Oreochromis niloticus: one gene and its partners. The protein of the gene in region 1 purifies or fractionates together with the protein of each later gene. This does not show direct contact. Links are inferred from orthologs where the notes say so. Each region holds a gene or a part of one and is shown in the gene's direction. Other genes may lie near its edges. The genes, in order: rnf7, asb1, rab40b and asb7.

Region 1 (5,622 bases):
AGATCATCTGTTTTTAAATAGCAAGCTAAAGCCATGCGCTGGCTTGGTACTGAATGGATGATCGAGCATGCATCAGGATTTAAAGTGAAGAGCAGTTCAGAGTAAGTTTGATATCGATGTGGTTCAGTCTTGTTCTCACGTTGACAGCGGCGTGCTCACTATTGCGCAGGGTACCTGCACAGAAAGACTGCTGGTCTTTTAAAAGATGTGGGGGACTTATGGCCTTTTTTAATAATATCAATCATACAGCCATTTAAATACAACCACAGAGTGTGGAACCAGTGTTTAAAATTCATGGTTTAAATACGAGGGAATTAATTCGTATTTCTAAATTTATTGATCTCTGTATCTGAAAAAACAAAAAACAAAAAGTTCTACTTAAAATCAGAAGTTACCCATTTTGAGTCATAGCCTTAAGCTCGATTTAATGGAGGAAAGATTACTGAAGGATGTTTCAATGGACAACAATTTGTCTTTTAATTAGGCCAATAAGTTTTTAATACCAAATTTTAACTGGGGGCTGCTCTTCAAGACAGGACAGTAGATTTGCTGCTGAGCCGGCAGCAATGTTAAAGAGCCTGACCTGTCTGCTGATGTGGTCCTTTCAGGTTCATAATCCTAAACTAACTTTCAATAAAATGATCACAAACAAGGTGACATCTGACTGACAAACAAGGAATCTCTGTATGTGTATGCACTAATTGTGACTGCAAGTTTTTACTCACTCTGATGAGCAGCAGTCTCATACTTGGGGTCCTATTGGACCTCACAGATATCACACTCTTCCTTGACCTCATAATGATGTCTTCAGTTCAGATACTTCTGTGTGGAGTTTGCATACTTCCCTCTGTGTCTCCACAGGTTCTCCCCGGGTACCCCGACTTCCTGCCACAGTCTAAAGACATGCATGTTAGGTTAATTGCTGATTATAAGTTGGTCATACTTGTAACTGTGAGCATCACGATTGCCTCTCCTTGTTAGCTCATAATAGCTCATAATAGACTGCTGAGTTGTCCAGAATGTACCCCGCCTCTCGCCTAGTGACAGCTGGGATAGGCTCCAGTCCCCCACCGACCTGAGTTTGATCAGCAGTTGTTAAACAAATCCCAACAGTTAGCTGGATATAGGAAACAAAAGTATTTTATGGAGATGTCACATGAGGTGACATAAGGAGGTAAAAGTAGTATCTTAAGTGATTTAAAGACCTTTTAGTGCTGACATTAGACAAAGCTCCAGCTTCCCCTCAAATTCTTCAAACATTTAATCATTCAGGAGCATTTGTCTGCTTGCTTTTAAATTTTGAGTTGAGAAGAGGATGGGAAAGGAACTATATGATTTCACTGCTTCTCTTCATTTGCGTGTTTGCACTGGAGTATTAGAGGTTGTATAGTCATATGTTAAACATAGCCTATCTTTGTTTGGTAAACGTTATCTGCATTTAGTTGTTGGAGGCTTGTGAAAGGTGTCTGCAGCCATAAAACATGCATTCAGAACACAGAAAAATCTTTCTGACAGAGTTATATACACCAGTCATTTATAGCATTATAACAGCCTGCCTAATATTGTGGCGGCCCCCATTTTGCTGCCAAAACAGCACTGAGCCATTGAGGCATGGACTCCACTGAAGGCGTGCTGTGGTATCTGGCACCAAGATGTTAACAACAGATCCTTTAAGTTCTGTAAGTCATGAAGCGGGGCCTCCACGGATCAGACTTGTTTTTCCAGCACATCCCACAGTTCCTCGATTGGATTGAGGCACTGGGGGATTTGGAGGCCAAGTCAACACCTCAAACTCATTGTTGTGCTGCTAGAGGCCACAGCTATCAGGGAGTACCGTTTCCATGAATCAGTGTACGCAGTCTGCAGCAATGGTTGGCAGGACCTGAGGTTTCCTAGCAAAACTGTGCTTGAAGCATCACACTGGCTCTTGCCTTCTTCCCATAGCGCATCCTGGTTCCAGGTGATCTCCAGGTGAGCAACACACGCACCAGCCATCCACGTGAAGTAAAAGAAAACGTGATTCATCAGACCAGACCACCTTCTTCCACTCCTCCTTGGTCCAGTTCTGATGCTCACAGGCTCATTGTTCATGCTTTCATCTGTAGACAGGAGTCAATATGGGCATCCTGACCGGTCTGCAGCTACACAGCCCACTACACAACAAACTGTGTATTCTGACTGTGTTCCACCAAAACCAGCATTAACTTTTTCAGCAGTTTAGCAGTAGGTTATCTGTTGGTTCGGACGACCCTGTCGCTGGTTCACCACTGTTCTTTCCTTGGACCACTTTTGATAGATACTTAGCACTGCAGACCGGGAACACCCAACAAGAGCTGCAGTTTTGGGGATGCTCTCACGCAGTCGTCTAGCTCCCACAATTTGGCCCTTGTCAAACTCGCTCAAATCCTTACACTCGCCCATTTTTCCTGCTTCCAACACATCAACTTTGAAGACAAAGTGTTCACCTACTCCCTGATACATCCCAACCACTGGCAGGTGCCGTGTTGAAGAGATGATTAGTGTAATTCATGACAGTGGTCATAATGACCTGATCGGTGTGTATTTAATCTCTTGGTGAAAAACTGACAGTTTCTGCACACCTTGCTGCACAAAATGATGTTGAAATTGTTGCTCTGTGACCTAAGTAAACACTTTACTGATCAGTATATGGGTCTAAATGGAAGGTTCAAAGCTCACTGAATATTTACCCTACAGATTGTTATAGTTTCTTCTTGGTTATTGCAGAGATCAATAAAAAAAACGATAAAACAATGACAAACACAGTTTAGCAAAATAGCAAACAGCTTTTTGCTTATCCCTTATTTCCCTTTTCCCTTTTATGCCAGTCTGAGTTGACTGAAACTCAGGATGATTCAGTGTTTTGGAATTGCTGGCAGAACTCTTTGACTCCATTGTTTATTAAATCTCTATCTAAGTAAGCTCCAACAAATACATATAAACAGATTTTTGAGAGAAAGAGTACATTAAGAGTTTATTTAAGCAATTTTCTGTTTTTAGTAAACATTTGCCAAACAGTGTCAAGGCAATACATTTGTAAAATATTACTAACAAGATGATTTATGTTCAGTGATGTGCAAAAGTGGTTTTCAGTGATTTTCAAAATGGTCTTGAGCAATAGCTTTCCAGGCTTTCTGTGGGTCTGTCAACATTTCATGGTACACTGGCTGCTTTTTCATTTATTTTTAGTCCAATCCTGGTACCTGAACATTTTTAAACACATTTCTTTAGTTAAATCTATAAACAATGAAATCCAGCCGAGACCCGACAGCTGGCCCATCAGCTGATTATCTCACCAAAATAGGTGTAATTATGAACTCAGAAAAGTACCATCATGTTTTGATCCACCATTCAGTACCACACGGAAAATATCTAATTGACAAAATAATTAAACAGTAAAAACATATTGGACTCACTCATTGCAAGCCCATCAATCATGGATGGGCCTCCCCGGAGCCCGAACCTCAACATTATTGAGGCAATGTGGGATCATTTTAACTGAGAACAGGACACACAGACAGCCAACATCCAAAGAAGAGCTTTGAATGTCCTTCAAGAAGCCCGCAGAACTATTCCTGAAGACTGCTTAAAGAAATTAAAAGAAAGTTTGCCTAAGACAGTTCAGACTGTGCTGAGAAATAAAAGTTGACTTTTAAACACGCTAGAACTGTACTAATTCTGTTTTTGGTCTTATATTTTCAAATGTAGTTTCTTAGAGAAATATAAAAAATGGGGGAGCCTCAAGACTTTTACACAGTACTTTAAATATACTTCTTAAGATTTAATTATGTGATGTTACCATAAAGTATTGAGGACATTCAGTATTTCAGAGATTAAACTTTTTCCTGAATGTAACATAGGTGTAAAGAAGCAAAATGAGAAAGTGAAGCAGAGACTAGTCGGTGTGCGGTTCCTTTGGGACGTGGATAATTCCTGGTAAACAGCGCCCTCTTCTGTTTCTATGGAGACAAGACATATGCTAAACCTACTAGCACTGGCGCTAGCATCACCCAGCTGTTTCATCCATTTTGTTTAGCCTAGCTAAGCTGCGTGTATTTACAGTGCGGCAGAGATGGATGACGGCGACGAGCCGGGTTTAGTCCTCTCTCACAATACTTCGTCGGGCTCCAAGTCGGGTGGGGACAAGATGTTTTCTCTGAAGAAGTGGAATGCTGTAGCTATGTGGAGCTGGGACGTTGAGTGTGACACTTGTGCCATTTGCCGAGTACAAGTAATGGGTGAGTCCGAGGAGCTAACGGAGCTAACTTGGCTAATTGTACCTTTAAAACCCGAACGGCCCGGCGTGTGGAGGTACTCTAACATTGTTCTTCATTTTCAGATGCGTGTCTACGATGCCAGGCGGAAAATAAACAGGAGGACTGTGTTGGTAAGACCCTGCCAGCACTGACATATTTATTAGCAGCACAGACACTCGGCAGGTTAATCCAAAAAAAGAAAAGAAAAACAAGCTAACAGTAGCTAGTTGGAGCTGTTAGTCAAACTCGCTGAGTCAGGCAAAATACAAGATAATAACCTTTTACTTTCTTCTTTCTTTTAAAATATAAAGCAGAGATTTTATATGACCATTTATTAGCATTTTGATATAAATATAAGGTGTCAAAGGGCACCTAATCTAATCCTTGGGGGTGCTTTTTTGCATTGCAGTGACATTTGCATGGTAAATGCCTTTTAATGAATAGGACTGTCGTGTTTTGTTTTGTTTTGAGCTTATTGTAAATGGTTTCTCAATATGTGCCACTCGTGCTCTGCCTTTGTGTTTCAGTTGTGTGGGGAGAGTGCAACCACTCCTTCCATAACTGCTGCATGTCCCTGTGGGTGAAGCAGAACAACCGCTGCCCCCTCTGCCAGCAGGACTGGGTGGTTCAGAGAATCGGCAAATAAGCTGCACATCCAGGTGGATTACACCTGCGTGCACCCCAAAGCGGTGACAGACTTGGCAGTGATCAGTGCAGAGCCTTGTGCGGAGCCGCTGACACCGCAGCTGCCCTCCTGCTTATTGATTGCATGTTTTCAGTAGTCCGGTACCAGAGGAAGGACAAAATGAAAGCTGCACAGACTGGTTACTCATGGAGTCCTGAAGAAGATGGATGAAATATGTTGAATTGTTTGGTCACTTGTTAGCTTTACATTGGTGTCTGTGGTGGTGTTTGGCACACCTTGAATATGTGACCTTTTTCTCTTCTTTTTTTTTTTTTTTTTTTTTTTTTTAATAAAGACTTGTGAAGATCTGTAATATGTGTTTTTTTTTCAGTAAGAAGTTTGAATAAACTGTGTATGATATGATGTGACTCACTGAACACTTTATTAGGTTTAGATGCTTGTTATCATCATATCTAGGCACGTAGGTGTAGTCTGTGATCTACAGAAATTCAAACGGCATCAGAATGAGGAAGAAAGGTGAAGTGATTTTGAATGTCTCATTATTGGTGGCAAACAAAGTAATCTGAGTATTTCACAAAATGCTAATATTCTGGGAAGATTTCTTGATGTCAGAGGAGTTTGGTCAGACTGCAGAGTATGCAGAAGAGCATCTCTGCAGGTGCTGAACCTTGAAGCAGATGGGCTACAGCGGCAGAAGACCAC
Region 2 (6,958 bases), on another chromosome or scaffold:
AAAAACGCACTGAATATTCAGGCGGGAGTGGGTTCTCATTCAGAATAATGGTAAGGCCATTTTTCTTGGAGGTGTTGTGGAATTACGGGACCACTTTTGGGTTTTCAGACCAGGAGATGGTACCAAATATATTCCTACTCCACTTTAAGATATTGGTACGAGAAAGGGCCACTTGACGGTTTAAAGGTCTGAAACTGTTCCCAAAAACCTAGATGATGGATTGGAAAAAGTGGATGATGCTGGAGACGTAGCAGCTGAAAACACTGACAGATGAATGAATAAATAAATGCATCTTTATGATCTGCACACTAACCTAACCCAATCTTTGGCCCTTCTTTTGAAATGGTGCCTTTGTGCATTGAGCCAGTGCACAGCTCACAACTTGAACATTACAGCAGAAAGCTGCACATTCATCCACTGGACCAAATTTTAAATGTTTCCTCGTTCATTTAATCACCGAGTTTTTGAGGGCGTGGTGCACTCGGCATGTTATTCTTGTGAGCACTTGATATTTGACATGCAGTTTGACCAGAGTAGTGAGCAGACCCGTAACAGTAATTAAACATACTCACGGCACATCCAGCTGATTGAAACCAGGAGGAACGTTTAGATAGAACGTTTACATTTTCTACAAAACAATCAGACGCTCACAGAGAGGCCTGGAGTGTAGCTGATAACAACGCATGTTACATGAATGTAGTGTCTTGGCATGAATTTGTCCAGTAACATTTTCCAACCTTTTAACATTTCATTGACATTTACAGTTTTCATAAACCAAATCTATCTGTGTTAAATCGAAAAGAAGAAGAAGACAGCTCTGAAATTTTCTCTACAGCAGTTTCACACATTTTATTCAACCATCTGTGAGAACTGTCACAGTCAGCTCCGACATGAAACAGTCTTTACTCTGCCAGCTCACTAGTGCAAAGTCTGTGTAATGTCTGATGTCCCCCTGTGAGAAAAGTAGATGTGAGCGGTGATTTCTGAGTCAGTGAGTGTCACGCATCCTGCACGCTTTACCCAGAGCAAACTGTGAACCAAACTGTGAGCTCACAGTTGTGTGTGCTGCATGTGAGAGAGAACACCACCGACAATATCTGGAGTCTTCGTTCTTTAGCTGTTATCCGAAGGTCATGAGTGAAAACGGCTTGCGCTACTTTAAAAACACTCTTCCACTTTTGAGGCACTGCTGCACTTTGATTAGAGCTGTTTTAGAAAAAAGCTTTTTGCAATAAGCAATGTTCACACTCTGTCGTATTTCTAACTCTTTTATAAATACACTAAGCTTGTATACTTTAAAGGAAAAAAGCAGTGAGCATGCAGGGCAGCCACCATCTTGTACTGTCGTACTGCCAAACTGATAGAAAGTTTTGTAAGCTTTCTCTATACATTGAAAAATATGAATTCATATTTTTCTAGCTTCCTTTGCAACTCGTAAGAAATGCTTTGCACTAACATGAACATTGCTGGACTTGTTGGAAGTTGGATAGTAGAGATGAGAGACTGAAACAAGATCCTGCCTCAGTTTCCCTGAAAATGTTGTTATTGAAAAGGTGAAAAAAGAGTCATCCAAATGTGAATGAAACAAAAGTACAAACTTTGCGTGGCTGCTGAGTGAAAGTGCCGTAACCACACACACACAAAGTAATTTACAGTAATTTTACAGTTTTTAAGACTTGTACACAGCTTGTTATTCTGGTTGGTTCTGCTACACATTTTCTTCCCAGAAAACACAATTACACAGAAAATCACTGCTGGAAAATAACACTTCCTGTGAAATGTAGGTGATTTTGATGAATGGAATCCATTACACCTTTTCTCCATCATAACCACTAAACGCAGTTTTTTTCAAAACTAGATGCTTTATTTCATATGCGATTGTGGCGACTTGTACACTGCACAGCGACTCCCTTTCTCACAAATATTTACACCACCTAAATATTTATTTTCTGCTCAGACTAGGATTTCTGCCTGCCTTACCAAACCTGTGGGTTACCAAACTTGTGGCCGACACAACATGTGGGCTGGGAATCATTGGTGGAAAAATGAGGCTTGAAACTGTGTGTAGAACAGAAAGCCAGTGGGCAGACATTTCTAGGCTCTGATCTTAATTTAAACTGCATTCTTGTTTGTAAGGGGAAAAATATAATGTGACTGTCTTTAAAAAATGTGGCACTCTACATTTTAAGAAGGACTTATCAGGCAAAATACACTGTAGTCTGACTTATCTCCATGTTTATGTCAGTATTATAAAAATAATAAATTGGAAAACCTACAGGAAATGTTAGCATTCTGAAAAATCTCATTTCAAAAATCTCGTCTGGAAAAGTGGGAACCCGCATGCTCATTCATTATATTAAAAGGCTTTTTATCGTGTACACTATAAACTGTACATTATGTATATGTGGAGACTGTATCATAGTTCAAATAATTATATAATTTTGTAGTGGAGTGAAATAAATGGTTACATTGCAATAAAGAATTGTCTCATTTTTGTGTGTTTTTGTGTGCAGTTTGAAGGTGTTAAGCTTGGTCTAGATTATCCCAGAATAAGATTGGTATTATTTTTGTATTTTATTTGATTTTATTTATATGTATTTTTTTTTTTAAAGATTTTTGATAATCACACCCTCAAGCAGACTCTTATGTGAAAGACTCGTCCAGCAGACCCTCCAGTGACACCGTAGCAGCAACTTTCTATGGCAGCGCTGTTGCAGACATCTTTGTAAGACGCCCTTCAGCATCACTTTCACAGCAGCTGAGCCTTTGTTTTGCAACCTGGAGATTTAGCTGAAGCTCCTTTTGCAGAAAGACTTCAGCACACGGTGCTAAAGAAGGCAAGCCTCAGTTGTGCGTGTCTGTTTAACTATGCAGTGCAGGCCTCAACAACAAAGTGACTCAGAGCTTTGTCCTCTGAATTTGTACTAAGCTCAAAAGCTCTTTTGCTTTTGTTTTGAGTTTCACTAATCTTGAAGACAAATGAAAATGAAATGACTTTTGCGACTTTAATCTGTGGATAAAACACACAAGTATCCTGTTTTAATTAAATTATAATTTTAAATGATTGTGTGTGTGAGAACTAACCTGAGTATTTTGTCAGATTTCGTGTTATTACTGACCACCATCACTAACACTATGAAACTAGCTGAAGTGCACTTTCTTAACCATCAGCAGGTTTCCATGTTCAGTGATGGCAGTCTGTAAACAGTCCGTCCTCCTATGGGGCCGCATGGCTCTGCTGACCTGTCCGTTTATTTTTAGAGCACCACCAGGACCTCATGTCTGTCAGCAGGCAGCATAGAGAGCCATAGCTGCCTGCCTGCCTGGTGTATGTTGCCCACCCAAAAATTACTCATTAGTTTTAGCACAGCTGGCAGAATTTCAGCTGCAACTATCAGTTAAACAGAGCGTCTTCTTCGTACTACACACAGATCTCACAAATCTCATATTTGACTTACACCGCAGAGCTATGAACATTCATCAAATTATGCCTCACATTCATTTGAGGTAACGCAGTGGCCTGCTACATTTTTAATTCAGCATAATTAATTCTGACACGTGTCCTGGCGGAAAAATAAAGGATTTTTTTCCACTAAACTTTAATGCCTGGTCTTGTGGTGAGGGCCTTAAAGCAACATGTAGGCGTTTAGGCTTGGAAGTAACACATTTAGTCGATCATAATTATCAAAGTGTGACTGATATTTATTGGAGACTGTGATGAACTTTAGGAAGACTTCTAAATATGATGTGCCCCTAAAGTTTTATGGAAACAAAAGGCATCAAAACCATCTTTTATGTACAGGCTATCAGAAACGCACGCTTGTGAAACATTTTTTGTATTGAATGATTGCGTAATGAACATCGTTTAGGCCTTTGTTGGCGATGTTTTGATCTCTTATGGGTTAAAAGTGCTTTGAAGTCGGAGACCATCAGCTCCACGTTTAACGCAGCGTTTCCCCTTTAAATCCCAGCAGCTGAGCTCAGCCAGGAAGTAGCGCAGTGAGCTGGAGCAGCAGACGTCTTCATCAACACAGTCACGTTTGTTTACGTTCATGCTTCTTATCTGATCCCAGGTCGCTTGGGTTTCTCTATTTCTGGGGACCCAGTGTCGCTCTGCAGCCGCAGCACAAACCTTCAGCTTCACGCTGTGACCATTTTGGGAGCATGGCCGACGGTCCAGAGGCTGATGTTGACGACCCGCCCAGTATCAATTTCCCCCCGCTCATCACCGTGTCCGATCTACCCAGCGCTACAGCTGCAGGTAACTATGGCTGCGAGAGCCGTGAGCGATGATGATTGATCATCGCAAGCACCCACAGGCTGTCCTGCAACTGTGCCCCGTTTGCAAGAGCACGGCCAATATGCGTGACATATTACAGATGTGGTGGTGTTGGGAGAAGGAAGAAGGGGACGGTGTGTAGCCTAATAAGGTGTGGCCAATGGATTCCGGAAGCGTTCACATCTCCAGTGCTGCAGTATAGCAGTGACACTTCATCTGTTTTTCTGTCTAGTCACACAAGTAATAGAGTTGTAATGGATTGATTTGACCAGTAGACTCAGGCAGAAAAGCTCCCGGTAATAGAAAGAACATAGCCTAATGTAACGTGGATCCTTTTAATGTGTATTTAAGGAGCTGTTTTACTGTGTACATCTCAATCTGTGGGAGTTCTCTGAGCACAGCGTGGAGCAGATATGGAGAAAATGTCACTACACCAATGCTGCTCATCTGCAGCCACCTTATGTGTATTTTGTCTATATGATCTATAAGGGAGCTGAGATATAATTTACACTTGATAATATGCAGAATAGTTTCTGCAAAATATCATTTTGTATGGTAACAAATCGCCCTGCAAGACCAGACAAAACCAGCTTCTCATTTCTGTTATTCTCCCTGAAATGCTGTGTTTGGCAGGTCGTAACCTGAAGGAATGGCTCCAGGAGCAGTTCTGCGACAAACCCCTGGAGCAGGATGACATGCGTCTCCACAACGCGGCCTATGTCGGCGATCTGGACACCCTGAGGAACCTGCTGCAGGAAGACGGCTTCAGACGGTGAGGCCGAGCAGTAATAGGAGTATTTGGCACTCTAGTTAGCAAAGTTAACACATGCTTTACTTGGTAAATGATAAAGCAAAACGTCAATACAAATGAAAATGGCAAGGTACCAAAACAAAGGCTGCACTTTGAGGGATGGGATGATATTGCAGACAGAGAGACAACAGAATCTGGGAGAGACTATAGATTTATTTTGTATAAAGAATACAGAATAGTCTATTTGTTAATGTATCTTACAGCAGAACTGTCTTTTCCCCCAAAACAAGTCCAAAGATACCATAATTCCAAATCGTTTTCATAGGAGTAAACACAGACCAGAAGCAGGCTGCTGTTACCATCATCTCACAGCAGGATGGGTGTGTTCCAATACCCATAGCATTATACTGCATACAGCTAGAGGATCATAGTTTAATGCCAATGCAATGTCAAAGCAATATACTACAAATGTAGTGCATGTAACAGAATTTAAATTTGATGTAGTAAAAGTAAAAAGCATACAGTTTACTACTCTGATATCTGTGGAAGCCTTGTGGAGGGAAGCAGCCCTGCAGCAATACAGGAGGACTAAAAATACACAGAGAACCGTTCAGTGGCTCAGTCCAGTAACCACCAAAGCATTGTATTTGCTAACAACAGCAAAATGCTTTGCTCTTGTTAGCTTCAGTCTTTCCTCCTATTGATGCTGTATTGCCGGCAGAATCAGAGCCTGGACTTACCAATTGGAGAACATACAGGGCCATCTCATAGTCATGGGCATGCATGCAATGAGGGAAATAATGATTTGATCCTCTAGTGAACATTTAAATTTGCTCGCTTACAAAGAAATAAACATTCTCTAATTTTAATGGTAGTTTCATTTTAATGGAGAGGTACAGAATATCAACTAAAATCCATAAAAATCATAAATTATTTTCATGTCATTGAGTGAAATAAGTATTTGATCCCCAAGCAAAACATGAGTTAGTACTTAGTGGAGAAACCTTTGTTGACAAGTACAGCAGTAAGACGTAGTTGGTCATCAGGTTTGCAAACATCTCCTCTCCTCACAGAAACTCTCTAAATGCTTTATGTTTCAACTTAAAGCTTCAGCTCCCTCCACAGATTTCCTGTAGGGCTGACGTCTGGAGACTGGCCATAATGTACTTCTTCTTCAGTCACTCTTTTGTAACCTTTGTGGGATGTTTTGTGTCATTGTCATGCTAGAAGACCAATCCAAGTCCCATCATCAGTGTTCTTGCTGATGGAAGATTTTACAGTACTTGGCCTCATCCACTGGACTCTTTAATGCAGTGAAGTTGTCCTATACACTCAGCAGAGAAACAGCACCAAAGCATAATGTTTCCACCTCTGTGCTTGGATGTGTGGATGGTGTTCTTTGGGTCATACTCAGTATTTCTCTTCACTGGCAAACCCAAAGCAGGTTGTTGCATGTGCTTTCCTCAGAGGGGAGAGCTCGCAGATGCTGTGAGATTTCTATCCATTATGGTTTAGTGTGTTACCAGTGTAGGTCACAACTGCCTTCAGACCATTAACATGCTCCTCTCATGCAGTTTTGGGCTGATCCACCACTTTTCTCATGATGATCCTTGGAGCTCCAGACTGAGGGCGACTGATGGTCATTTTATTTTTCTTCAGTTTCTGAATAATCGCACCCACAGGCCTTCCATCTTACCCCTGATGACCTTCGACATCTTTTGGAGAGGTTGAAATGGAAGAAACTGATTGTATGCTCATGTGTGCTTTATACATATAAGAAGCTGAGATCAGGAGTTTCTGTTATTGACTGAATGATTGTATTCTGTAGGAGCCAGAATGCTGGCTGGTTTGTAGGGGATGAAATACTTACTTCACTCAATGACATGGAAATGAAATTATAGCTTTTATGTAATGTGTTTTTTTTCTGC
Region 3 (7,880 bases), on another chromosome or scaffold:
CATTATTATAGCTTCTGTTAATTAGGGGGACATTGGGTATCAGTGATCTACATAACGCTAGAATCATTTTCTTTTTAAAAATATTCTTGAGGATCAGTTAATCTCTTGAAAGAACGGCTAAAAATGTAGTGATGGTTGTTGGTTGTTGTTCCAGTAAAGCATTTATCATTTTTCTCGCATGTTCCTGTCAACAGCTGTTAATGTGACAAACCTAAAATAATGTCTGTGTGAAATTTACTGTATATGAATATCAAAGTGATGCAACAAACAAATGTCACGGCAGTTTGGTGTGACACTGACACCTGCTGGATGTCATCAATAAAGCTGAATCCTGAGTTGAACACTGTTTGCTGCTTCCTGTTTGTTGGATACCGAAGTCAGGAGTTAAACTTTATTTAAAAATCATAAAGGAGAAAAGATAAATTCAAAGCTTTAAAGTCTGACCTCAAACAGTCCTGACAGGTTGAAAGGATGTTTTCATATTTACAGTAGTCACTAATTTATATCTGCTGTTGCTGTTATTTAGGGTGACCAACCGTCCTCTTTCCCCTGAACATGTCCACTTTTCACGTTCTGTCCGGGGCGTCCGGGGGGATTTTCGAGGTTGATAAAAATGTCCAGGTTTTCCTGTATTCCGACAGAGGACCCATGTGTGTGACGTCATCCCCAAACTGCTGTTTTGTGAGCGCTTGTTCTGCGCTCACAGACGGGACAGACAGCACGCAGCAACGCGCCTAATGATGTTTCATCTTTCAGACGAACTGCAAAAGAAATTTCCCTCGTACCGACCACAGCTGGACTGGCCACCGGTGGGCCGATGGTGATTTTTCGTTTTTACGGACTGATGGTTTTGTTGTTGTTGTTGCTGCTGCTGTAACGGTATAAACAACAAAAGGTGATGGATTGGCCAGATGCTGGCCAATGTGTAAAAAACAGTTGTTTGGTGGTGTCTATGGTGGAGCTTCCACAGAGGCCAGCAGGTGGATGAGGGAAAGGGGAGGCAGGAGGAGGAGAGACCCGAGGCGGCCGCCAGTCCGAGTGTCAGGCAATGTTCCCTCTAATTCACACCAATGTGTGAATGGGTGGATGACTGGATGTGTAAAGCGCTATACAAATACAGACCATTTACCGTTTAATTTTTCATGTGTCTGAGCGAACACACAAACTCCCTGAGCGTCCCTTGGACCACTGTGAGCGACATCAGACGTGTGCACTGTGGTCACGCCAGCATCTAATCCATCCAAGTTACATGGTTTATTAAAATGATCAAATCACAGCATTTACATTTATGTTAGACTACTTTTAATTAACTGCTTTATCCCACTTACAATGAAAATTAAAAAAAATCCTGTTCATGACCTGTGTAGTATGTTAACACTATTGGAAGTAAAAATAACTTGAACTCCAATTTTGAAAACACAACTTTCTTTCTTTTTTCCATAAAGCTCTGACTTGTATTATGAGTCTGTGGTCTGGGAGAGAGTCCTGTAACTCTGTCTGCAAAATACAGTATATAATGACCAATGTTGGGCAATTAATTATATAGTTACTACTTCAAAAAAGTAACTCAGTTTGGCAAACAACAAAGTTTTTTGCAGCTATTTATTTTTTTAAATGCAGCCAAGGCGTTTTTAAATAAACATTTCAAACTATTTACAGAACAATCAGCTGTTCTGCATCAAATCTGATGCCACACAAATTATTTGTGCCACTCCAAAAATTAATTTCTGTCCACTATGAGATAAAGGAGAACAACAGCCTGATACCTGCAGGCCTGACAGCAGGAGATGTATCACTGCTGTAACACCTGTAACATTCAGCAGCCGCCTCATTGTTCTGACACACCAACAAAACTATTGACTACACTACACACTAACTACACACTAACTACACAAGATTTGCACTAAACGTCTCAAATCTCTCACATCTCAGAACACCGCCGTCACTCCTAAAACTTCCCCCTGTTTCTTAACAACTAGATGCCACGTTGCCATATCATTTTTTGATTGGTCAACACGTACTTTTTTGGACGAATAGGAAAGGGTGGGGGTTTTTGGTTTTGTTTTTGCTCACAGGCTTTCGAGCGTTTTCCTTATAAAACGCCGTTTTTGCCGTTTCTTCCCGCAGTAAATATAAACAACGACAGTATTCAGGAAGAAAACCAAACATTGCAGATATTTTTATCATAACTCTGGTTTTACGTGGCCGATCAACACAATTTAAAAACTGGTATAAAGTCCACACTTTGTCCGTCAGTTGTTCCGTCTGTCCTGCTCACATCTCCAATGGTTGGACACGTTGTCATTAATGTGGCTTCACTCCACATCAGCCATGCCGCTTTGCTCGCTAAAACACCGGTGTCGGCACATATTTACTTTAATTTCAATTCAGGTTAGATTTTTTTTTTTGGTGTGCGCAACGCAGATTTTCTCTGTGCAGAGACCGTGCCAACAGTGCGCAATTGCGCACGTGCGCAGCTTAGAGGGAACATTGGTGTCAGGTGAACTGAACTTCAGGTAAGAAGTTATGACCTGCAGTCTATCTGGGTCAGATATAAACCAAGTTTAGGTGGAGTTTATTTTCGTTGTGCTGACTTTTTACAGTCAGTTACAATAACTCGTACTGCGTGCTAGCTAGCATGACGGAGTTTCTACACAGCTGGGTGGGTGCTGTGATGTTACTGATAGTGATATGATATCGGTTTGGATATGTGGTGAGAGGGAAACGTAATGGTGGATAACAGGTGTTATTCTAAAAAACGGACGGAGCAGTGGAGCAGCCAAGGGAATAGAACGATATAAAAACTGTATCACTAAAATATAATTTATTATACAAAAACAGTTAAAAATTTAAAAGCAATTAAAACAACACTGGCCACGGAGAACACACAATAAAAATCAATAAAACATAAACATTAAAGGTCCAGCGGCGTCCGCCACGGCGTAAAAGTCACTAAAAGTCAAAATCCAGCCAATCGGAGCGGGGCAAGGAAAACCCGGCGGGGTCCTCACCCGTCCTGGCAGTCTCTCTGCTCAGAGGTGCTGGAAAGAGAGGGGCAGTGACAGTCACTGTTCTTTCCAGTGGCTCGGTTTATTGCAGTACGATAAGTCGCGAGACTTATCCCGGATGGGCAGAGCTCCTAACTCTGCCCGCCGCTTTTCTGTAGCACGCCAGCACTATGGTCTCGCCGTGGGAGGTAGGGCGCTGTCCCACTGCCAACTAATCCCCCACCATAGCGTCCTCTGGCCTCCAGCTATTCCCGCAGCAGCACAGCTCCCTCTGCCTCTACGCTCACTGGCCGTCGTATGCCCTCGCCACGTACTGCACACCAACCTCCACCAACGCCGTCCTCCTGCGTCTCCGAGCACTCTCTCTAAATCACCACCGGCTGTCACCTCTCAGGTGTGTCAAATTAGTAAACAGGAAAGGGCGGAGTCTCTCCAGGACAAGTTAACAGATATAACCAAAACATGAAATACAAAAAATAAATAAAAACACTCCACATTGAAACACAGCAAAACATGCAAAGCAAAACAACTTCAAAACAAAATCTGTCCTTCTCTGGATGACAGAAACATGCAGATGAAACCAGGAGATGTCCTTACTGAATCATCAGAGTTGAACAGGTGATGGAGAAACAGGTTTACCTTTTAGGTGACATGGATGAGTTGAAGTTATGAACTGTTTCTGAGAGACAAATAACACCAGGATCCTTTTCTACGTAGCTGACAGCTGGTAACTGTGCAGGGGCGGGTCTAGCAAAGCTTTGCCAGGGGGCCAGGTAGGGCATTAACAGGGAAAGGGGGGCACAAGGAAATACTTTTCTTTCTTACTCTCATTTAAAATGTCTCGCTTTTAATAAATAATTATCTGAATCTTACAACCAAAGTTTTTATCTGATGTAAAATGTATAGAAATCATACATATACCAACAAGACTGTACATCACTGTCACAACAGGGTTCATTTTCATTCAAAGGCTTTATGGCTTTTCCTATAATACCTGGTGGGCCGGTCTCTAGTCAAAATGCCCGGGCCGAGTTTTTTGTCCCAGTCCAGCCCTCATACCGACCCAGTACTGGTAATTTTTCTTATGCAGATGAGGCATTATTTCTGTACCATTATTTAATTCCAGAGGTTTTTAAGTTTTTTGGGGGGTTTTTTGCACTTGTTGACTTGTAAAAGCCTATATGACATATTTTATTTCACAATTCATTAACCGCACAGAGAAGGCATCGTTTAAATATGTTAAATATGTTTCTTTAAACAAGTTCTTCATGACTGAGCTAAGTGTCCTCTTTTTTGGAAATCAAAATATGGTCACCCTACTGTTATTGTGCCTCGGCCTCGGGGAAACCAGAGCACAACACAAAAAAGATAACTCCCCCACTCCCTGCTCCCGGGGAAGGACCCACCCTGCCACAGAGTTTGTGGGTTTACTGCAACCAAATATGTCATTCATCTTTGTCAGGTTGGGCAGGGTCAAAACAGCCAAAACAATGTTGTTGAGGTGACTGCTGTTATGAGTTGGTGCTGTATAAATAAAATTGTCACACTTTCAGTCAGTGATTGGTAACTCGAGTATGAGCTGATGGAGGAAAACTTCTTCCTTTGACTGCATTAAGACATTTCCAACAGTCACTGCTTCACAAAACTCAGAGAGATGCAGAAGGACATCATAAAATATCTCCTGTAAATGTAACCTCAGTCTGCTCCGAGTGCTGCACTTGTTGATCTGAACATCGGCCTCATCAAACCCAGAGTGGTGTCTGTCAGAAGGCTCATCTCTAGACTGTTCCTATGTAAAGCATCTCTTCCGCCCAGCCGCTGTCATGCTTTTATTTTCTCAATCCAAACAGGAAATAGTTGCCTTTTCTATTTCTGTTCAGCTTGACGTCACTTAGTGAGCCAATCGCACAGCTTGTCCCACTCGCTGATGGACGTCTCCAACGTCCAATCCTGACTCAAGGTTGCCCTAGCAACTCGGACGATTGCCCAATCAAACCGAGATAAACACCCTCCCTCACATCTTCAGCTGGAGCAGGGAGGGGGGAGGCCAGATATCCATGAGTTGCTCCTCAGTCCGGGAGCAGACCTGGACTTCAACCTGCAGAGGATTTTTACCGTTGTGCGTAAAAGCGCGCCGATGGCACAGCTGGACGCGCTCCGAGCAGCTCCTGAACACGCTCCAGTCTGAGTGCGGGTCCTGGGGGGAGGAGAGGAGGAAGCCTGCTCTCATCTCAGGATGGGACACCACAGCCGTCACCCGTCGCCAGCATGAGCCACAGAAGCAGCCCGACGCGCGCCTACGACTTTCTGCTCAAGTTCCTGCTGGTGGGCGACAGCGACGTGGGGAAAGGCGAGATCCTGGCCAGCCTGCAGGACGGAGCCACCGAGTCCCCGTACGGCTACAACATGGGTGAGTGGGGGAGTGGGTTCACCTGTCTGGTGATATCTGTGGAGGCTGCTGGCACCGAGTCCTCCATCAGGAGTCTGACTTCATGTTCACTCAAACTTTAAGCGCCTCCATCAGAGCTCCAGTTCCCCACAGCAGCCTCTCTGACGTCAAAGCTTCGTGAAAAGATTTTATTCTGAGGTGAAAAATGAAAGTTAGTGATTAAAGTTTACAAGAAAAAGCAGTTTTTGTGAAATAAGTTCACAAGTTTATTCTTAAAACTAAATAAATGTATCTAATTTACTTTAATAAACAGCTGAGTGTATTTTATTATTGAAAGCATTTTAACTGGTTCACAAGTTTTACTCTTTCAAAATAAGAGCCATAGTTGTTAAGATATGCATTGTTCTCTGGTGAGCAGAAACCATCCAACCAACTGATGGTTTGGATCCACTGCGTATAAAAACTGGACATAATCACTGTGATGTCACTCAGCAGTAGTGATTGGCTGGTTTCAGAGCCTGCCCCCTGTGGACGTCAGAGGAACTGCAGTGAAGCTTTGTTCTGGGAAGCATTAGAAGCTCCACACACCGTTTTAGTTTGTAATACTGAAGCCGTGTTGCCATGGTCTGTGCGTGTGTGCGTGTGTGCGTGTGTGTGTGTGTGTGTTAGTAAACGCTGGCAGGCAGCTGCTCATGACTCATGCTCGGCCTGCAGGAGGGCGACAGGACGAGTTGAAGCTCTCCAGCTTGAGGCGCTGACACACGATGTAACACGCTGTGCTCACGAGTCACATGACCACACGCTCAACCTGCTGTCATAAAAACAGATTTCATATTTAAATATGTAACGTCCTGCACACGGCTGTCATCTCTCTGCAGAAAAGTCCAAACTGAGCTTTTAGGACCGTTTCATAGATGATCTGAGATCCACCGTGGTCAGACGTGACGTGCAGCAGCAGCAGGTGATGTTACTCACCTGTTTACAGCAGACTCATGTTTTCATGTTTTATACTTGGACAGAAAACGATTTACCAGCAGAGAACAGTCTGCTGGCTCAGGAGATGAGTGAGTCCTCACACACCAAAAAATCTCCCCTGCACATAAAAAGGCCTGCTGACATCACCAGCCACAGCCTGCAGTGAGGAGGTCAAAGGTCACAGATGACAGGCCAGCGCCATGCTTTGTGGATGCAGAAAAACACCCACGTGGTCTCTGAATCATCCTGGATGAAGGAAGGCTGCACTCTCGTGTCTAATTCTGAAGTGAAAGAAGTAAATTCAAAAAATAGAAAATGTATAAAAACTCTGTAGTAAGTTTGATCCAATTATCCTGTTTTTAAAATATTCTACACAGATACACCGTCAGTAATATTTGTGTCTCCTAACAGTGAAATGACATGTATCTGCTGTCCCAGTGATAATAATCAGCTCAGCCTATGTTCATTAATCACTGTGAGACCAAAGCTCAGATCTAAACACTCAGTTTATACCTGTTTTTTATGGCGTTGGCTTTGTATGATGTCATAGGGAGGATATATCCTTATACGGTCAATCTCAGGCACAGAAGCCCCGCCCACTTGCTATTTAAACCTTCTGTTATGAGAGGCAGCCCGCTGTCTCAGTATGAGATGAAGGATTATTCTGAACTGTGAGTCAAGCAAAGAATTACAATATGGAGCAAAATCGTTACTCAAAAAAGTAATCTATTACACATTACTCATTACTTTGCTTAAAAGTGATGCACTGCGTTACTTAATTATGCTGAAGAAAGTTTTTTTGTTCCATTGCTTTCTCATTACTCCGTAAATTGTCCTGAAACACAGTCCCAACGAGGACACAGGTACGGTCTTTCTTTTATTGTTCAGGTATGAAGAAAAGGCAAAGATGGAAACCAGCACAAAGACACTTTGGAGTGGTCACCATGGTGATTCTGAACAGGCAGGAACAAGCTGCAGGCTGACTGCTCATCAGTTTGTTACCTGTTGATGTTCAGGCTCTGCCTGCTGGGCCGGGGTCTGCGTACACCCAGCTTTACTATCAATCTGGGTTCTTGGCTAGCTACAGTGGCTTGCAAAAGTATTCGGCCCCCTTGAACTTTTCCACATTTTGTCACATTACAGCCACAAACATGAATCAATTTTATTGGAATTCCAGGTGAAAGACCAATACAAAGTGGTGTACACGTGAGAAGTGGAACGAAAATCATACATGATTCCAAACATTTTTTACAAATAAATAACTGCAAAGTGGGGTGTGCATAATTATTCAGCCCCCTTTGGTCTGAGTGCAGTCAGGTGCCCATAGACATTGCCTGATGAGTGCTAATGACTAAATAGAGTGCACCTGTGTGTAATCTAATGTCAGTACAAATACAGCTGCTCTGTGACGGCCTCAGAGGTTGTCTAAGAGAATATTGGGAGCAACAACACCATGAAGTCCAAAGAACACAGCAGACAGCTCAGGGATAAAGTTATTGAGAAATTTA
Region 4 (7,549 bases), on another chromosome or scaffold:
AATGGTCAGGGGGAGAGAACAGACACTGAGGGGAAACATTCAGCGTTTTTTTTGTTTGTTTGTTTTTAATTGTTTTACCACTGAATGTGCTGCTGAGATTTCTGGGTGAGAAAAAAAAATCCTATGAAGTTATGTCGTTTGCTAACCCAGTACTATCACGGTTATCAAAAAGAAGAGCTTCAAATGATTTGTTTTTAATTTAATTGGTTTAAAGTTCAGCAACACCTTTAATTGTACTTATGCAAAAATTATAGATCATCAAACATGCTGCACACAATCTCAAGTGTATATCTACTGGTGATGTTTTGTTTTTTTTTGTTTTTTTATTCTCACCTGATCCTGCAGCTGTTTGGATGCAAAGCTCTATGGACTTGAGAATAATCAGGCTGACAGCTCTCAGCATCACGCAATCCCAGTTCTGAATTTGATCTCCCAGAATGTGCCTGGTTCCTCCAAAGAAAGCGCCAGACTGCATTTGAATACTCAGTAACCAATTGTCAGAAGCTGCTTTTAACACAGTTCGAGCAAGAATGCTCATATCAGAGCTCCAGTTTCCACATGTCATCCATGACGCCACATCCCCTGAAATCCAGTCCTCTCCAGCCTTCTGAAGGATTGCTCTCTTTAGAAGAAGCAGCACTCGCTTTTTAACATAATACTCTGAGGAGGAGCAGATGTTTAGGAGGGCCAACGAGTGAAGGTGGGTTATTCTCTGACTCTTCAAATGGACACCAGCTCCACATACCAAACTAGAAGAAGTCAGCACCTCAAGCAGGTCTAGCAGTAGACATAATGATGTTCCCCAGTGTGTGCTTCTGGTAAAATCCACTAAATGCTGTGACATGTGTTTCTTCTCTTCAGGGAGCAGTTTTGAACATAGAACACTTAGACTGAGGTCAAAACCTGCCAGAAGTGTCATAAGCTCTAATGGAAGAAGAAAAAAAATGTGAGACTAGACAAAATCAACCATCATCCTGTAAGCATCATAGGTTGCTCTTTTCTGCCCATATCTTACCCCAATGAGTTACCCTAGCTAAAGAACAAATGATTTTATTTACAATTTCAATAACAAACTCATCTTTAAGTAAATTCATTGAAATGTTCAAAATCTTAAAATGTTCTGGCTGCAGTTTCTACAATTTGATAATTTGCTCATTTTCTGTATTTTTGTTACCATTATAGCCTAGATATCGTGGATTTTGGACTCTTTGAAAATTAAAATTACTAACACCGTTTACCTCGATGAGCTCCTTTAAGAAGTTTTTTGGAGACTTCAGTCAGTGACCACAAACAGGCATCTAATTCAGCACCAGGCCATGGGTTCTGAAATGCTTGTTCACATTTCCTCTGCCAGACAGGACTGATAACTCCCTAAGAAATTTAAGCATACAAGCGCTTAAATTCAGTTTTAAACTGTCAAATCACAACAACAGTCACTTCAAGGCGCTCAATATTGAAAGGTAAAGACACTAAAATTTTATAGAGAAACCCTAACAGATAACCTCCTATGAGTAAGGACTTGGCAACAGTGGGGAGGAAAAACTCCCTTTCAACCTTCTTTTTAAAAGGGAGTTCCTTTCCACTGTTGTCCAACCCGTCAGAACCAGGTCACGGCAGCCATCTGCCATGACCAGTCTGGGCGGGGGACTAGATAAAAGACATGCTGTGGAAGAGAGCCGGAGATGGTGAGTAAAAAAGGGTAAGAGAAGGAGAAACGTTCAGTGCATCTTGAGAGAACCCCAGCAGCCTAAGTCTACTGTTTAGTGCTACTGTGTGGATTCAAGGTCACGCGATTCAGCCGTAGCTATAAGCTTTCAGAAAAAGGAAAGTCTTAAGCCTAATCTTAAAAGTAGAAAGGGTCTCTGTCTCCCAAATCCAAGCTGGGAGCTGGGTCCACAGAAAAGGTGCCTGATACCTGAAAGTTCTGCCTTGCATACTACTTTAAAATATCCCAGTAACCACAAGTAAATCTGCAATCTGAGAGCAAAGTGCTCCATTGGGGTGATATGGTACTATACATCTTCCTGATGACCACAATTGATCATGTGGCTCTTTGTTGTTTCATCCTGGATAGTGCTTCTGACACTCACTAGCACTTGGTCTCCTTCCCTCCGCTCAGCGTACAGTCTCAGAGGGCTAGATTTGGGGTGAAACCCTACATGCATAAGTAAGAAGCTTCGTTGTCTTGATGTCAGTGGATTTGATCTCCTCCTTTGGGAGTAGGTGGCGATTGCCTTGATCTTGTTCTTCCCATTCAGCTACTTCTCAGGACTTGCCTTACTTGCTGGGTTGTTGTAGCTTTCCTAGTAGCCTTTTCATGGTTCCCAATTGGCTATTTTCAGTGTGTTGCCTTCTGATAGACCTTAGAGGACTGCACTTCCTCTCTTTTTTTACTATTAGGGTTCTGCTCATTTTGTGTAGCTCTATGAATTCCAGGTTCCATGTGTGAGGTTTAGAGTCATAGGCTTTCTCGTAGTAAGTCCAGGTGGTGCACAGGTTGGCCAGTCTGGTCTTAGTCTTGAGTGAATGTTCCAGCTACCAGTTGCTGAAGTTTTGCCCTTCTGGTGTTTCTGCCAATTCCTTTCTGGCCCCGCTCACATATTGAGCCATGTCCCTGTTCATCTTAGTCACTATGATACCTCAAGGCACTTTCACATAGGATGTGTCTTTGCAGCAAAACAGTACTCAATTGTCTTTTTAAATTTAGCATTTTCTGCCCGAGTAAAATATTATTTGAATTTGGATAGGTTCTGTTTAACTGTGCCAGAAAGGTTTGTTGTATATCTTGACTGCTGTTTTTTAAGAAACCTCGTACTTGGGACTTGTAGTGACTTCATAATGAATTTGCTCACCTGTGTTTGTGCCTGACATGTGTGCCCCGTGGGGTTTAATTATTATTGCATCTGTGTTAAAATATTCTAAGCCCCTATAATTTGCTCAGCTGTGCAAACAACTTAATTTCAGTTTTGGTTATTTACTCTTGCCTCATGTAAGCAGCAAGGTCTGGTAGTTTTATTGTGACAAGACACTTTTATATCTTAGAGCTTACCCTCTGTCGCCACCACAGTTCAGCACCCCAAACTTCAATGCCCTTCAGTAGGGCATCCCAGGTTGGTCAGTTTAAGGCTGTCCTTTGAACCACACAATACATTTCTCTGGATTCACTGAGTTTAGAAATTGAGCTTCATTCGTAAATTGGTGAATAACGTGCACTCTCCATCGTTGCTTTTGAAAAACAGTCTCTTGTTTTGTTCAGCAGAAACATCTAGACCCTTCTGGTGTCTCCTTTTACATTACTTTAAAACTTTGCTTTTTTCACCATTCTTAACATTATACACAATGAACAGTGTTACATATTTTTTAATAGTATGTGATTTACAGTAGGCTAAAGCGTTTCAGTCAACTCAGAGACGGAAAAAAAAACGTTGCTGAAAACGAATCTCCAAAGAATGACTACTTACAGATTTGCAGATAAGGTAAAAAACACACTTTGATGCTGTCTTTGCAGCCAGATGTGAGATAATGTGGTCCTCGGCTTGGAACCGGTTTACCTATGGAAAAGGTAATTAAATCAATTATTAAGATAACTTTACGTCTTTACTCCCATGACCAGTGGTAGCACTTACAAGGTGCGTGATGAGATCCATGTCTTCAAGCAATACTTTTAGGACCTCCGCATAATAAAACTTAACGTCTGGATGCAGCCCCTGAGACGTCAGATTAGAAGAAACCCTCTCGAGGAAAGACATGCACATGCAGGTCAGCTCCGCATTCTTTTCACCGCAGTACTCTGAGGGGGAACCTTCTCTGTCTTTACCGTGGACAGGTCCACATAATCCCGAATATATTACGCTCGCTACATCGGCAGCATTTTGGGGGGGGTACGATCCCGCAAGAAAGCATCTGTACGCTTCTGTCAAACAGTTAAAAAGCCCTGTCATTATGGACAGGTCTTCGTCTTTACAACTCATATTACCCTCCATTGCGCTGCTACTTCCGCGTGGATCTCCCATGTGATATACACGGAAGCAGCCCTACAAAATACGTGAAGCATTACCAAAATAAAATAAAAAAGTCTAATAAATGAAAATAGAACCTTATATTGTTGTTGTTGTTTTTACATTGTGGGAAATATATAATAGTGAATATAATAATAGCACTTTAATTACTTTAATGACCATGGATTTATATAATGTGTCTATTTTCAGAAAGTTCATTCCGTCAAACTGGACGTTTTCTGTAGGAGAAAGGTTTCTTCATCCAAACCACTAATCTCAGCTGACTGCAGAATAATGATGGAAACTAGCTCCACTGAATAACAATGGGCCGTGAGGTTAGTTTTATGATCATTAATCTGCAAATTGATTGATCAGTATAGCATCATCATATATGCACGCTTCCTTGCCTTTCTGATTTATTTTAAATTAATTGCATCCAAAAATTCATTTTATACGTCTGCTTTGCAAATGGTAGTTCTTGACGTGCTTGGAGCTGTGGAAATTATGCTTATATTGTGAAAGTCTGCAGACGGAAGTGTTATTGTTTTTGCTGATGGAGTCACGCTGGTGAAGCTCTTCGCAGACACTCTGTGATTAAGTCTTAGTGTTGGACAGTTAGATTATTCTTGTCATTACCTACAAAGATATAGATAAAAGTTTGACACTAGCTTCTTTGTTTAGTATTGTATTTGTGCTGAAAGTAACGGAATTATGCGGCTTTGACAACTTCAATCGTTCCGTCTACCTGAAAGCTGATTGGCTCAGTTACACGTCGGTTCAGCGTCTGACAAGTAAGTCTTTGTTTTATAGAGCTGCTGTTTTGTCAATAAAGGCGTAGAATTCCTTTTAATATCCACACACGCCGTGTTTTGGGGTTTATTTCTACCCAATTATAATAGTGTAAAAAGTAAAATGAAGCGAAATAAAATTAAAAACGAGCGAATGAGTTTGTTAGCTTTCTGGCTAACTAGCTGCAGCTAACCTTCTAAGAAACGTACAGCCGTAAACCATGGGTTATTCTAAAAGGATCTACTTTCATTACACTTTCTGGGGTGGTGGAAATGAGCTATCTTCACCGCCGAGCTTCTGTAAGTTATATCTGTATACTTGTGCGTGTTTTGTATTATTGGTCATGTTAGCAAATAAAGGCACAGTGTTGTCTATTGTTTCTCATAAACGAGTTTAACGAGCCAAACTTTTTAAGGTTTAAGGTAATGACAGATAGTTACATTTTCATTCATTTGCAAAGTTTTCTCAGGTTGGATAAAAATAGTGTAATTAGCAAGTTTACCTTTGGGTAGTGTATATGCATATAATTATTTTTTTGTATTTAACTCTCTGGTTATTACTATTGTTTGGCTGTTATGGTTTTCAGCAATAATTGGGGTGTATCCATGACCAATTGACTATGTCCGTTAGTGTTCACAATACTCTTCATTGCCTCTAATCTTTTTTTGATGACTGTGTTTGTGTGCCACAGGGAAACATATTCTCAGTTCCTCACAGTGTGCACCAGTACATCTGCAAATGCAGCTCTGATATGACTAAAAGAAGTCCATCTCTTCAGCTGGTCAAAAGGTACATTTTAGTATCTAAAACATGAGCTTTTCTTTCTTTCTTTCTTTTTTTTTAACAGCAGCATAATTTCTCCCAACAAGGAAACCACAAAAAACTTGCTAGACCTCTTTATCAAGTAATGGTTAAGCCTTTGTTAGCTGAAGCAAAAAAGTGACTGTCTCACATGTACATTTTCAAACAACTTAATTTATAATTACATTTTTGTGGGGATATATACAACTTTTATAGTCTTGTCTCTTTAATATTTAAATTCCAAGTTTTCTGCTTTTTATTCAGTAAGACTGAATTAAATTAATAAAGTTCTGAATGTCGTGGAGTAAAGATTTGTTTGCTGCTTTATAAATTATTTGTGCAATTCTGAGATCAACCAAATCTTTAAATTGAATTCAATGATTTTTTATCACAAATCACAACAGCAATAATGAAATGTTAATAATTTAATAAAAAATTGATTTGATGGTCTTTTGAAGTTTTGGTGTAGCTCAGGTGGTAGAGCACCTGCTAATCAGAACGTTGGTGGTTCAATCCTCATCTCTCCAGTCTGCGTGCCAAATATCCTTGGGCAAGATGCATCTGTCAGTGAATGCGTGTGAATGTTAGATAGAAAGCTTAGATAGAAACAGTATAGTATGATTGTGTGAATGAGGCAAGTTGTATAACCCATTTTGAGTGCTCAGAGTAGAAAATATACTCTATATTCCACCAGTCTGGATTTTAAGTCAAATGTGTTCAAGTGCAGACTTTGAGCTTTAAGTCTATGTTTTTTCAGAGTTTGGATTAACTGCTGAGAAATTTAGGGTGATGGAGGGGCTGGAGCCTATCCCAACTGCAGTACAGTAAGAGGCGGCTTACACCCTTTTCTTGCAGTCCCCTGTTTTTAGATGCTTAAAATTAACTGGACAGTTGTCTCCAAAGCAGTTTCCTCGCTATGTCATCGCAAATGAAGCAGATGCCTGAAGTTGACTCATAGAGCTGATTTTGTATTTGTAGTTTTGCAATTTTAAATATAAGTCTCAGACAGATGGCAGTGCATACAAGGTACACCATCACTAGGCTGGAAAAAAAAAAACACAATAAACCAGAGAGAGATGGTAAGAAATTTGGCAGTGGCCAGATCAACAGTGTGGTACATACATAAAACAAAGATTAACTTTAACCAGAGCGATGGGAAAAGTATTGAGAAGCAGAAAAGCAGCTCAAGATCAGATAGGCTCCTTTCCCATTAGTACCTGCTCGGTTTGAATCGCCACGACTCGACTTGGATTAACTGGTTTTCCATTATAATCAAGTACAACCTAATGTGTGTTTTCATTGTCATAGCAACACGTCCAAGTGTCCTGTGACGTAATTAACATGCAACACAAACGCTACAACAAAGGTGGGTGTCGAGGCAAGAATACACCTCCTGCTCGGTCTGTCGCTTTTCGGCAGACTCTGGGACCACGGCATTGTTCTTTGTAGCCATTTCCCTTATTGACAGCCAGGGCTGTGTAGAGATTTTTGAAGGGGTGGGTGCTGAAAGTTAAAAAGGGGCACATGGAACCAGAGTGAATAACAACAACCCATATTCTTCAAAAATCTAATATGGATTCGCATCATACTGTATCACTGTTATCAGGTGGGGATAAGGCAAAGCAAAGGTAGCCCATTTCTTGCCTGATGGGTACAATGTTGCTGTTGAGGTGTTGCTGCTGCTCCTGCTGCTGATAGTGCTGGAGGGCAGGGCTGTGTTGATCTGACACTGTAGACATTTAAAAAGTCTGTAGGAGATATGGTAGCTGATTGTGTTGTGAGATAATAATGAAATGCAAAGATCGGTGACAGTGCTTGGAACCGTAAGGCAACAGATTAAAAAAAACTGTGGGAAATGAACTAGGCTCTGCCTGTGAATCACTCTTTGCCTCTCTTCCTCCTTCCATCTCCTCATCTCATCTATCGCTGTCCACTTGCTGTCCTTCTGAGAACAAGGCACA

The links.
Region 2: the proteins of rnf7 (region 1) and asb1 purify together in Homo sapiens (co-immunoprecipitation; 3 studies listed by BioGRID and IntAct, with this or other methods). This does not show direct contact. The link is inferred for Oreochromis niloticus from reciprocal best matches to the Homo sapiens genes RNF7 and ASB1.
Region 3: the proteins of rnf7 (region 1) and rab40b purify together in Homo sapiens (affinity purification with mass spectrometry; 3 studies listed by BioGRID and IntAct, with this or other methods). This does not show direct contact. The link is inferred for Oreochromis niloticus from reciprocal best matches to the Homo sapiens genes RNF7 and RAB40B.
Region 4: the proteins of rnf7 (region 1) and asb7 purify together in Homo sapiens (co-immunoprecipitation; 4 studies listed by BioGRID and IntAct, with this or other methods). This does not show direct contact. The link is inferred for Oreochromis niloticus from reciprocal best matches to the Homo sapiens genes RNF7 and ASB7.

Annotation. Positions count from the first base shown.
Region 1 is NC_031979.2:12,352,753-12,358,374, reverse strand, and holds rnf7 (RING-box protein 2), read left to right. Parts: upstream 1-4,034; 5' UTR 4,035-4,090; coding exon 4,091-4,256; intron 4,257-4,357; coding exon 4,358-4,405; intron 4,406-4,801; coding exon 4,802-4,920; 3' UTR 4,921-5,118; downstream 5,119-5,622. UniProt on the Homo sapiens protein: Catalytic component of multiple cullin-5-RING E3 ubiquitin-protein ligase complexes (ECS complexes), which mediate the ubiquitination and subsequent proteasomal degradation of target proteins.
Region 2 is NC_031987.2:3,877,441-3,884,398, forward strand, and holds the start of asb1 (ankyrin repeat and SOCS box protein 1), read left to right. Parts: upstream 1-3,931; 5' UTR 3,932-4,164; coding exon 4,165-4,261; intron 4,262-4,912; coding exon 4,913-5,051; intron 5,052-6,958. UniProt on the Homo sapiens protein: Probable substrate-recognition component of a SCF-like ECS (Elongin-Cullin-SOCS-box protein) E3 ligase complex which mediates the ubiquitination and subsequent proteasomal degradation of target proteins.
Region 3 is NC_031973.2:1,795,072-1,802,951, forward strand, and holds the start of rab40b (ras-related protein Rab-40B), read left to right. Parts: upstream 1-4,873; 5' UTR 4,874-5,276; coding exon 5,277-5,418; intron 5,419-7,880. UniProt on the Homo sapiens protein: RAB40B small GTPase acts as substrate-recognition components of the ECS(RAB40B) E3 ubiquitin ligase complex which mediates the ubiquitination of target proteins.
Region 4 is NC_031965.2:5,046,743-5,054,291, forward strand, and holds the start of asb7 (ankyrin repeat and SOCS box protein 7), read left to right. Parts: upstream 1-4,526; 5' UTR 4,527-4,789; intron 4,790-4,838; exon of another isoform or gene 4,839-5,086; intron 5,087-5,478; 5' UTR 5,479-5,576; intron 5,577-7,549. Other genes in the region: lins1 (protein Lines homolog 1), read right to left, coding at 334-924, 1,239-1,371, 3,462-3,551, 3,627-4,013. UniProt on the Homo sapiens protein: Probable substrate-recognition component of a SCF-like ECS (Elongin-Cullin-SOCS-box protein) E3 ubiquitin-protein ligase complex which mediates the ubiquitination and subsequent proteasomal degradation of target proteins.